Daphnia pulex: one gene and its partner. The protein of the gene in region 1 interacts with the protein of each later gene in a biochemical or structural test. Links are inferred from orthologs where the notes say so. Each region holds a gene or a part of one and is shown on either strand. Other genes may lie near its edges.

The links.
Region 2: the proteins of cell division cycle protein 27 homolog (region 1) and anaphase-promoting complex subunit 4-like form a complex in vitro, tested with the Homo sapiens proteins (2 studies listed by BioGRID). The link is inferred for Daphnia pulex from reciprocal best matches to the Homo sapiens genes CDC27 and ANAPC4.

The regions. Positions count from the first base shown.
Region 1 is NC_060018.1:4,689,341-4,693,767, reverse strand, and holds the start of cell division cycle protein 27 homolog, read left to right. Parts: upstream 1-1,525; 5' UTR 1,526-1,724; coding exon 1,725-1,748; intron 1,749-1,882; coding exon 1,883-1,958; intron 1,959-2,019; coding exon 2,020-2,167; intron 2,168-2,224; coding exon 2,225-2,665; intron 2,666-2,755; coding exon 2,756-2,935; intron 2,936-2,991; coding exon 2,992-3,118; intron 3,119-3,192; coding exon 3,193-3,335; intron 3,336-3,403; coding exon 3,404-3,850; intron 3,851-3,917; coding exon 3,918-4,271; intron 4,272-4,332; coding exon 4,333-4,427. Other genes in the region: MPN domain-containing protein-like, read right to left, coding at 1-90, 167-390, 463-609, 689-838, 908-1,060. UniProt on the Homo sapiens protein: Component of the anaphase promoting complex/cyclosome (APC/C), a cell cycle-regulated E3 ubiquitin ligase that controls progression through mitosis and the G1 phase of the cell cycle.
Region 2 is NC_060021.1:8,253,783-8,258,260, forward strand, and holds anaphase-promoting complex subunit 4-like, read left to right. Parts: upstream 1-1,513; 5' UTR 1,514-1,766; coding exon 1,767-1,881; intron 1,882-1,959; coding exon 1,960-4,107; intron 4,108-4,129; exon of another isoform or gene 4,130-4,190; coding exon 4,191-4,255; 3' UTR 4,256-4,291; coding exon of another isoform or gene 4,292-4,405; 3' UTR 4,406-4,441; downstream 4,442-4,478. Other genes in the region: condensin-2 complex subunit H2-like, read right to left, coding at 4,292-4,405, 4,469-4,478. UniProt on the Homo sapiens protein: Component of the anaphase promoting complex/cyclosome (APC/C), a cell cycle-regulated E3 ubiquitin ligase that controls progression through mitosis and the G1 phase of the cell cycle.

The DNA of each region.
Region 1 (4,427 bases):
ACAAGAGCAGTCGTGTTTAACGATATTAGAAAAGGTTGAAGTTTCCCTATATTTGCGAACGATATGGCTTCAACTAACAAATTTGGATCCCTGGTAACGAAACGACAATAAGAAATAGAAACTAGAAACAAACTCCAAACTTAAAATAATTGTTTTGTCTACTTACTCGATACTTGTCCTGTTTCCTAGCGTTTCGTGCTTTATAATTTGTCGATCACCGACAGTTTGTTTCATACTCATTTGAATTACTGGTTCAGGTTCCAGCAGTACAGGCTCATTAGTGGACAAATTACAATCATCAGGAGTCGAGTTGTCGCTAACCTGTTCTAAACGTCGTTTACGCATCCATTGGTTTTTATATACATCCAAAGGCCTGCCACAATATCGTACCTACATCATTTAAAAATCTGAACTAAATTTACTGAACTTGATAACGAGAATTTAAACATATTTTATGCTTACTGATGACCAACCACAACCATATTTCTGTTCGGGATTAACAATTTTTTTGCAGCGCAAGGCCCACGCCGAGGGTGAACTAAAGACTTCTTGAACTTCAGCAGAAAAAATTTTTCCATCTGCCAGTAAGTCCCCATTAAATTTTTGTCCCTAAATAAATTCACATAGGGAATAGAAGTTTTAAACTTGGAAGATAAGAAATCTAAAAGAAATATCGTATAATGTTTACCATGTACTCTAGTGACATAGCACCTTCTTTTGGTTGAAGGATGTTATCTTCAAGTAACATTTGCAATGTGACTCCTCTACCAGTAAATCCACCAGCAGTTTTGGACTTTTTCTCATTCAGTTCTTCATCTTCATTGCCATCCATGTTATCCTGTAATTTTTGTCATAAAATTGTTATTCATTGGAATTTTAATAGCACAAAGTATTATTAATTAATTACCTCTCCTTCCATTTCAGGATCTAATGTTGCATTGTGGGTTTCAGACATGTTACATTGCTCATTTGTGTGTTCAACACTAACTGATGTGATCTTTTGTTGTTCTTGAGGATCTGCTTGATCACTAATACTTGAGTCTTCTGATGCTTCAATCATGCTTATGCCCTGTATTAAGAACACAGCTTTAATATTGCTAAACAAAAGGTTTACAACTAAAAAGAATTAAATTTGAAAAATATTTGTTTATTTGAAGTAGATTAATTGAAAAAAGGACTATTAGAAGAACTAAAAAACACTTAACTAAAAATTCATATTTTAGAATTACGCGCCTTTTTTATTAATTGTTATTAAAAAAACGTCTGATTTACCTATTCCAGTACCATAATTACAATTACAACCACGTTATTTCGAACAATCTAGGCCAAATGACAGTAGTTAATACATTGCAACACTTAAATTTACCTGAATAAATAACTTGTTGACAATTTCGAAAGCAAATTGTCCAAGTGCGGTTTAATAATAAGATTGATAAAACTGACCGTTGAAATGTCAAAAAATGTCAAAACTGAAGCATCACGATTTGAATCAATTCATCGAATATCGTAGATTGATCGATACTTAGTGAAGGCGATACAGCGATACTCGAAACGGTTTGGTTAAAAAGAGGAAGGGGCAAAAAAAACTTTGTGTTACATTAAAACGTAAGCTCCGACGGCAATTTGGTGGAATTATTTTGACTTAAATTGATTTCCGTCCATGGGAATTCAAACTTGATTGTATATCTTCATAGATTTCATATGTTAACTCATTACTAGTCAACATGTTGGTACAAGAACCTGTCCAGGTTAGTAACATGTTAATCAATGATGTTTAGTGATCTAAAAATTGCATATATTTAGGGTGTACAATGAAGGGGGTTTCTTTGTATGCCAGTTTTTGGTTCATTTTCAATAATGGTTAAATTTTTCTAAAATGCAGGCGGCTATCTGGCATTGTCTTAATCACTACAACTATTGGAATGCTACTTTTCTTGCTGAGAAACTTCAGGATGAAAGTATTATGTGTATACTTAATTTGTAAAGGTTATTTTTCCATAAATCTTATGTTTCTTTCAGTTAATAATGAGGAAAGCTTGTATCTTCTGGCCACTTGCTACTATCGGTCAGGAAAAGCGAATCAAGCAAGAAGTTTACTGCAATCAAAAGGAACTCAGTCGCCACAATGTCAATATCTGTTAGCCAAATGTTGTTTAGATCTGAATAAGTATGTGGTTATTCTCATTGAAAATAATTAAAATCTAAAGAATGTGTTTTTTTTTAGGCTTGCTGAAGCAGAAGGAACATTGATGGGTGGAAATATTTTCAAACAAAAATCTTTGGATGATGTTGTGACTGAATTTGGAGATGCTGCTGCTTTTGCCCTAGTTTTGTTGGGTCAAGTTTACATGCAGACAGAACGAAAGTTCAAAGCTATAGAAGTACTCAACAGAGCTCTTAAGCTTAATCCATTCCTGTGGGCTGCTTTTGAGCTTCTTTGTCGGCTTGGTGAAAAACCAGATGCAGAAGATGTCTTTCAGTTAGAGGGATTGGATAATTTCTCTCATTGTCATGGAACAAACCCAATAGCTTCATTGATCACTGCTCAGATCAATCAATCACATGATGCAACCACTAAAGTACATCCTCATGAACCAATGTCTGTTGACCAAATCTCCACTCCTATACTTCAAGTCCCTGCAGCTGATGTTATAGTAAACACAAGGTAAACATGGCATATTATTTAAAACACAAATTATTTTGAGATTTAATCACCATTTCTTTACACAACTTGTGTATTTTACTATATTTCTAGCACTCCCCTACCATGTGTGCCTCTTATTCATCACAATATACCTAATTTGACACCAGATGATCAAATGATTCCCTCTATACCGTTGACGAGTACCATGGCTCCAACACGTTCCAGAGCACGGTCGTTCCGGCTTCGATCAGTCTTTAAAGCCGGTCAAGCGCTGTCTCCCATGTCCCCCAAGTATAATTTAAGTTTCCATTCACTTGATGACACTTTATTTAATTTACGTAATTTAGTTTTGGCATCATACCTTTGGATATGTCTTCAGCAAGCGATGCTTCTCAAAGTTCGATGGTCTATTTGTGTCCCTCGCTAGCCCCACCGGTCTCTGAAACAAAAGAAGCAAAGATAATGCCTAAACGGGTATGATTTTTTTCCTTTTAAACAAATAATATAGAGTGTTTCATAATCTCTCCAAATGCTTATGCTGTTTTTAGTTGGGTGGTCGTCGTGAAGCAGCTAGCACTGCTCCAAGCGCGCCTTCACGTATGGGAGTTTTCTGCCAATCCGGAAATACAGCTACACCGACATTGTCTTCACCCCCAGCCGCTAACGTGAGGAGAAGTACACGACTTTACAGGTTTCAGTAACATTTGTGTATATATAAATTCGTATATTATTAATTAACGTATTCTATTTTGATCACAGTTCGAACAATTCCGTTAAGGAGAATAACAAAAGTAGCTCTCGTTTTGTTGTGCCCAAGTTGCCACTGAAGCGTAGCAAATCCAAACTTACTAAAGGTGATACCCCGGAAAGCGGATTAGCACCTATTAGCGATTTTCCAGAGCTAGTAGGAAAAATGGATAGAGAGGATGAGAAACAAGCTACCCTACCTACTCATTTAACTTCGGTGCAGACTCCACCATCAAATTTGATTCAAGAGGCAGTCCAAATGCAAAAGCAGTCAGCTGAAGGACTTATGTCTCTTCTTCGGATTGTAGGCAAAGCATTTTCACACCTGACTTCATATGAGTCTCGTCAAGCGATTGACACAATAGAATGGCTCTCCGCACGCCACAAAAGATCAAGCTGGGTCCTCTCTCTTATGGCTAAAGCTTACTTTGAACTGGCAGACTACAAGCAAGCTACTAGGTTAGTTTTACTTTTATCTTGTGTAACAGTTTGACAGGAAATTGACAGATATTTTTTAATTATTAAGGTTGTTTCAAGAAGTGCGTGAAATGGAGCCATATCGCACTGATCTGATGGAGTATTATAGTACTGCTCTCTGGCATCTGCAGCAAGAAGTGTCACTCTCGGCATTAGCACAAGACATGCTGGAACAAGACAAAATGTCAGCTGCGACTTGGTGTTGTGCCGGAAATTGCTTGGATTTGCAGAAAGATCGCGAACAAGCTCTAAAGTTTTTCCAACGAGCAATCCAAGTTGATCCTAAATTTGCTTATGCATACACTCTTTTGGGTCATCAGTATCTTGCCCTCGAAGAAACGGAGAAAGCCATGGATTGCTTTAAAAATGCTGTGAGAGTTGATCCTATTCATTATAACGGATGGTAAACCTTCTTTAACAAAGCAGCATTAATTGATTTGTTCTAACTTTTTGTTTGTGAAAAGGTACGGTATGGGAATAATTTACTACAAACAAGAGCGCTATTCGATGGCAGAATTTTACTTCAAGAAGGCACTGGATATCAATAAAAACAGTCCAG
Region 2 (4,478 bases), on another chromosome or scaffold:
TTGATTTTTCTTTTAAAAACAGGCAAAGGCACATCAAAAATGAAAATGCGGAAAAGAAAAGGGGATAGAAAATTGATATTATTCCGCCTACGCTTTCCTTTCCACGTTTTCTCTTCTGTTTGTCCTTGTGTTGAATAGTCTGTGCTGTTTGCTTATCTGGTGAATGGAAAGGAGAATTACGCGATTGCCGTTGAATTGATGAGTGTCGGCCTGCATCAAGAAACGCGCGATTCAAGCGTCTCACATTCGGTCAAAGCGAAACCAATGATCTAATCTCGGCCCGACAGTCATGTATACAAACGGTCATGTCAAATAACGGAAAAATCACTGCCAGACTAAAAATAGGAACTAGTAAAGACAACAAATCCGAATCGCCTAAAAAAAAGAATGTTGGAATAATATTCAATCTCTGTTGAATATAGGATGAAGCTTGCTTGTTGGCTAGGCACGGATGAACTCTCCTTTCTCCTATTATTTCGAGTCTATATCGACGGTGGTTGCTATGCATTACCCCGCCGTTCGCAGTGTCCCCCCGGAGTCACCTCAAACCGACCAGAACGTTGGTGGTCCCGCTAGACTGCTGCATTGAATACAAATAAGATCCAACTCCATAATCGTGCCTTTTTTTCCAGTCTCTAGAGTCCAACGAATAACGAGCACTGATACGCATAATCCACAATCATTGAACTGTGTGAACAGGAGAACGTCAGCAAGCAAAAGAAAGTAGTTGTGTGGAAATCGAAGTTCTTGTTGCTCCTCATCCTCTTCAGGAGCACTATATAGGCTAGGTACTGGTACAATATACATTTAGAGAAGATGATTTTTCTTATTTGGATATCGACTTTTTCTTTCTCCCATCTGACTACGTGTTTTTTTTTATTTCGTTTACAAGTTGCTACGAAAACACAATCGTCTAGACGTAAAAGCACAAATTCGCTGATAACGAATAAATAATGAATCAATGTTGTGCCACTCCGAAGGAGCAGAAGTGTTCCCCCCGCGCGTGAGAGCTTCTGCACATTGCACGAAATGGGAGACCCCGTCAACGCCCACACGTTTTCCTAAGGCTAAGTGCGGTAAAATATTAGGCAACTGCTACTGTATATAGCAGCATGACGTTTTATTATTATCAACGACCGGCGACAAGACAAGCAGAAAACAGAGCAAACTCTCATGAAGGTAAATAATCGTGTCGCAAAGGGAGTTCGTTATTTTCCGATCGATTTCTTTAGCACCCGCGAACGCACGGGAGCGATGCTTCGCTTAATCCTCGATGCCTAAGAATAGCGCTCATTTTTTACGTGGTGAGGTTATCAACTGGGTTTCTGTTTGGCCAAGAGATTATCCTATTTGCCAGAAACCCGAATTCAATTTCGCATCCATTTACGGATAGACGAGCTTATGCTTGTTGAAAAGATGCGGCGGCAAATGCCTTAAAAAAATAAATTTGGGGAGACATTCTATCACACTGTGTGGCTATTTATTCAGTTAACGAACTACAGCCATGGACGTCAAGAGCCATGCGATACAATTGGCCTCCAGTGGTGACTGAAATAAAAAGCGAATAACGTTGAACACTTGAAGGTAACACGTAATAAAAAGGTAGAATTCAAATCTGAATGTTTCCAGGCAGTTTAAAAATCGACCGCTAGATGTACTCAAGTTGCCTAGAGAAGAAACCGAAAAAAAGTTCGAAAAGTTGTAAATACATGTTCCTTAATTTCTGTCTAATCGAGATTGTCGTGTAAAAACACAATCAGCTTAAAATGGTGTCGTGTATGATGAGACAGAGTGACGAAAAACACATTCTTGGAACTGCGTCAACAGAAATCCTTTTGTGGTCTTCCAGACGAGATCTGATTGCCGTCTCAAACAGCTCTGGTGAAAACTTGCAATCCTTCTTTTTCCCATTGTGTTACTATGATAATAAAATTTGTTTTGTATGTTATTTTCTTGTAGGTGAGGTTTTTCTGAGAAGGTTGTCATGGAGCAAAGTTTGGAAGCTTTCTAAAAGAGGTGATGGTGTCAAAGTCACAGCGATCGTTTGGAGACCAGACAGTGTGATACTAGCTGTAGGATACAGTTCTGGGCATGTGGTTCTAGTTGACGTTGAATCTGGAGAAGTAGTACACACATTCAACCCATGTGAGGAACCCATCACAGCTCTTTCCTGGGAAAACTGCAGCACAAGTGTGAAAGAAGAGGCAGACAATTTTTTGCTGCCAGAACTGCTGCCTCAACCATTGAAAGTTAACTCTTCAAAGCTAGATGCTGGGTCAGCACTTGATGGCGACAAAGGATTGAAACATGAAGAATTACTGAGCATTTTGTGGATTGGACTAAAGAATGGGTTAGTTTACGGATTCGCCTTTGGACTCTTTCCTTGCTGCCTTCTAAAACTTTCAGAAATGAGTGGTGGGAGCGATTCAATCGGACCTGTACGAAGTGTTTTCCCGAATGGTGATCACAGCCAACTGTGTTTACTAGCCGATGTTCGTGCCGGATCCTCAGAAGTTTTACTCATGACTGTGGAAACCCCACTCATAACTCATTGTTTGAAAGAGTTGTACGGTCTAGGATTTCTCTATCGGCAGATAACTGGCCTCATGGACTGCCTAATCAGTGCTCAGAAAGCTCTACAAGAAGCCTGGGAGGATGCACTAGTCGACCTCGAATCGAAAATGGTTCGCTATGAAAGCAACGACGGCAAGAGTAGCTTATCTGTCGACTTGATGGAGCTCCTGATGTTTGGCCACGCCGGGATCAAGCTGGAGAAATTTCTTGTTACCGATTTGACTGACAAAGGATTGAAACGAATCGGCCAAGCCGTAGAGTTATCCTATAGCAACATGCAGAAACTGCTCATCAAACACATCGTGTGTGCCAACTACCAACTGTCGCACTATTTGACACAACTTTGCGGGCTGGCCAAACAAGAAGATCGTTTCTCATGCCTCGGCCTCCAAGTCAATTCGTGTTTAGCTGCATACCGGGCGGCCGGCTCTTTTACCGCCAAAACCGCTGAGCTTCAACAGGTGATCGATGGTTCTGTCAAGTACCTCAAGACATTCTTCCGCTGGCTTTACGTTACCATCTTGCGCCTCTCGGACGAGCCTATCCCACCCGAGCTTGCCACCAGTACCCAGCAAGATGTACGGTTTATCGCCAACTTCCTCGCCAAAGATTTTGAGACCGATGGACAAGTACGTCTGGATCGTATTGGGCAATATTTGAGGAATGAGCCGTTGACTTTTGTTGCCAGCTCTAAAACTAGACCCTGGGACATGTTGATAGAAGCTTGTCCATCTATTGCGAATCTTCAGGACTCGGACTTATTTCAACCCCGTGCTGAACGCTCTCTTGCTCAAGAGTTCGCCCATTTGGAACATCAGGTCAAAGCCAGTTTCGAAGCTATCCCTTCAGCTGTTGGACAGACTGCGTCGTTGCCGTTTATCACCGACCTGACGTTAGATTGTCCTTCGGACAGTCTGGACAAGATCAGAATCACAACACGATCCATCAACCAACCAAAAGATCGGTGTAATCTTCTTGGCTTGACAAATTCGACCACTCATTCTTCAGGATTTTACCTGTTTGAATTCGCCTCCGAGAAGGAACGTAAGAACTTGACTCGAGCAGCATTCTTCTCCTTTGGCAAGTGCGACCATCTACCTCCTGGCGAATATAAAATAGCTGATCTGCAGTTCTATAACAACGAGATTATGTCAGTTTTGCTTTCGATCGAACGCAGCACGAATAGCATCTTCGTACAACTCAGTCTATGTCTGTTACGCGAACATTTGGCTCCCGTTGTGTCACGGCGAGGACCTTTTAACTCGTCCTTCCATTCAGACGTTTTCGTTTCATCAGTTCTCAGCCAAGGCAATCTTCGATCAGTGGATGTCAATACCTTTATTGAAGCAAGCTCGTTTCGTGTCTTAAACGACTTTCAGGCTACTACCCTCGGTCTATCGTCCAGTCGAAAGGTTGCCGCTATCTTTTCTTCGTCAAAAAGGAAGGTTCGCATATTTGACATGGAAGTTGAAGAGGAAGAAGACGTCGAAGACGAGGATCAGGACATTGAGGATGTTTCAGACTTATCGCACGGTACGTAAAAGTGAAAACCTGGTTAACTTTCAAATTGTTTATTATTAACAAGGTATGTTAATGGAATGGCATTTTTATCGCAGATATATCAAAAGATGGAGGAAATCAAAAGGATATCAGCGACGTGGATATGGCCGTCTCTCCCTGATGGACTATTAGGACCAAACATCTTGCTGACAGTTCATCAGATGAAATCGTCCATGTGTTCGTGATGCCTCTCTCGAGATAGGAGTTTTAGTTCCACTCCATCGAGAGTTAAAGCATCTTGAAGTTGAATTTCCACGTTGTAAGCGTTTGCCTATAATTGTTAATAAAATTGCATATCAAAACGAAATTGAACTGTAGCTTTTATGAAACTTACTAATTGCAGA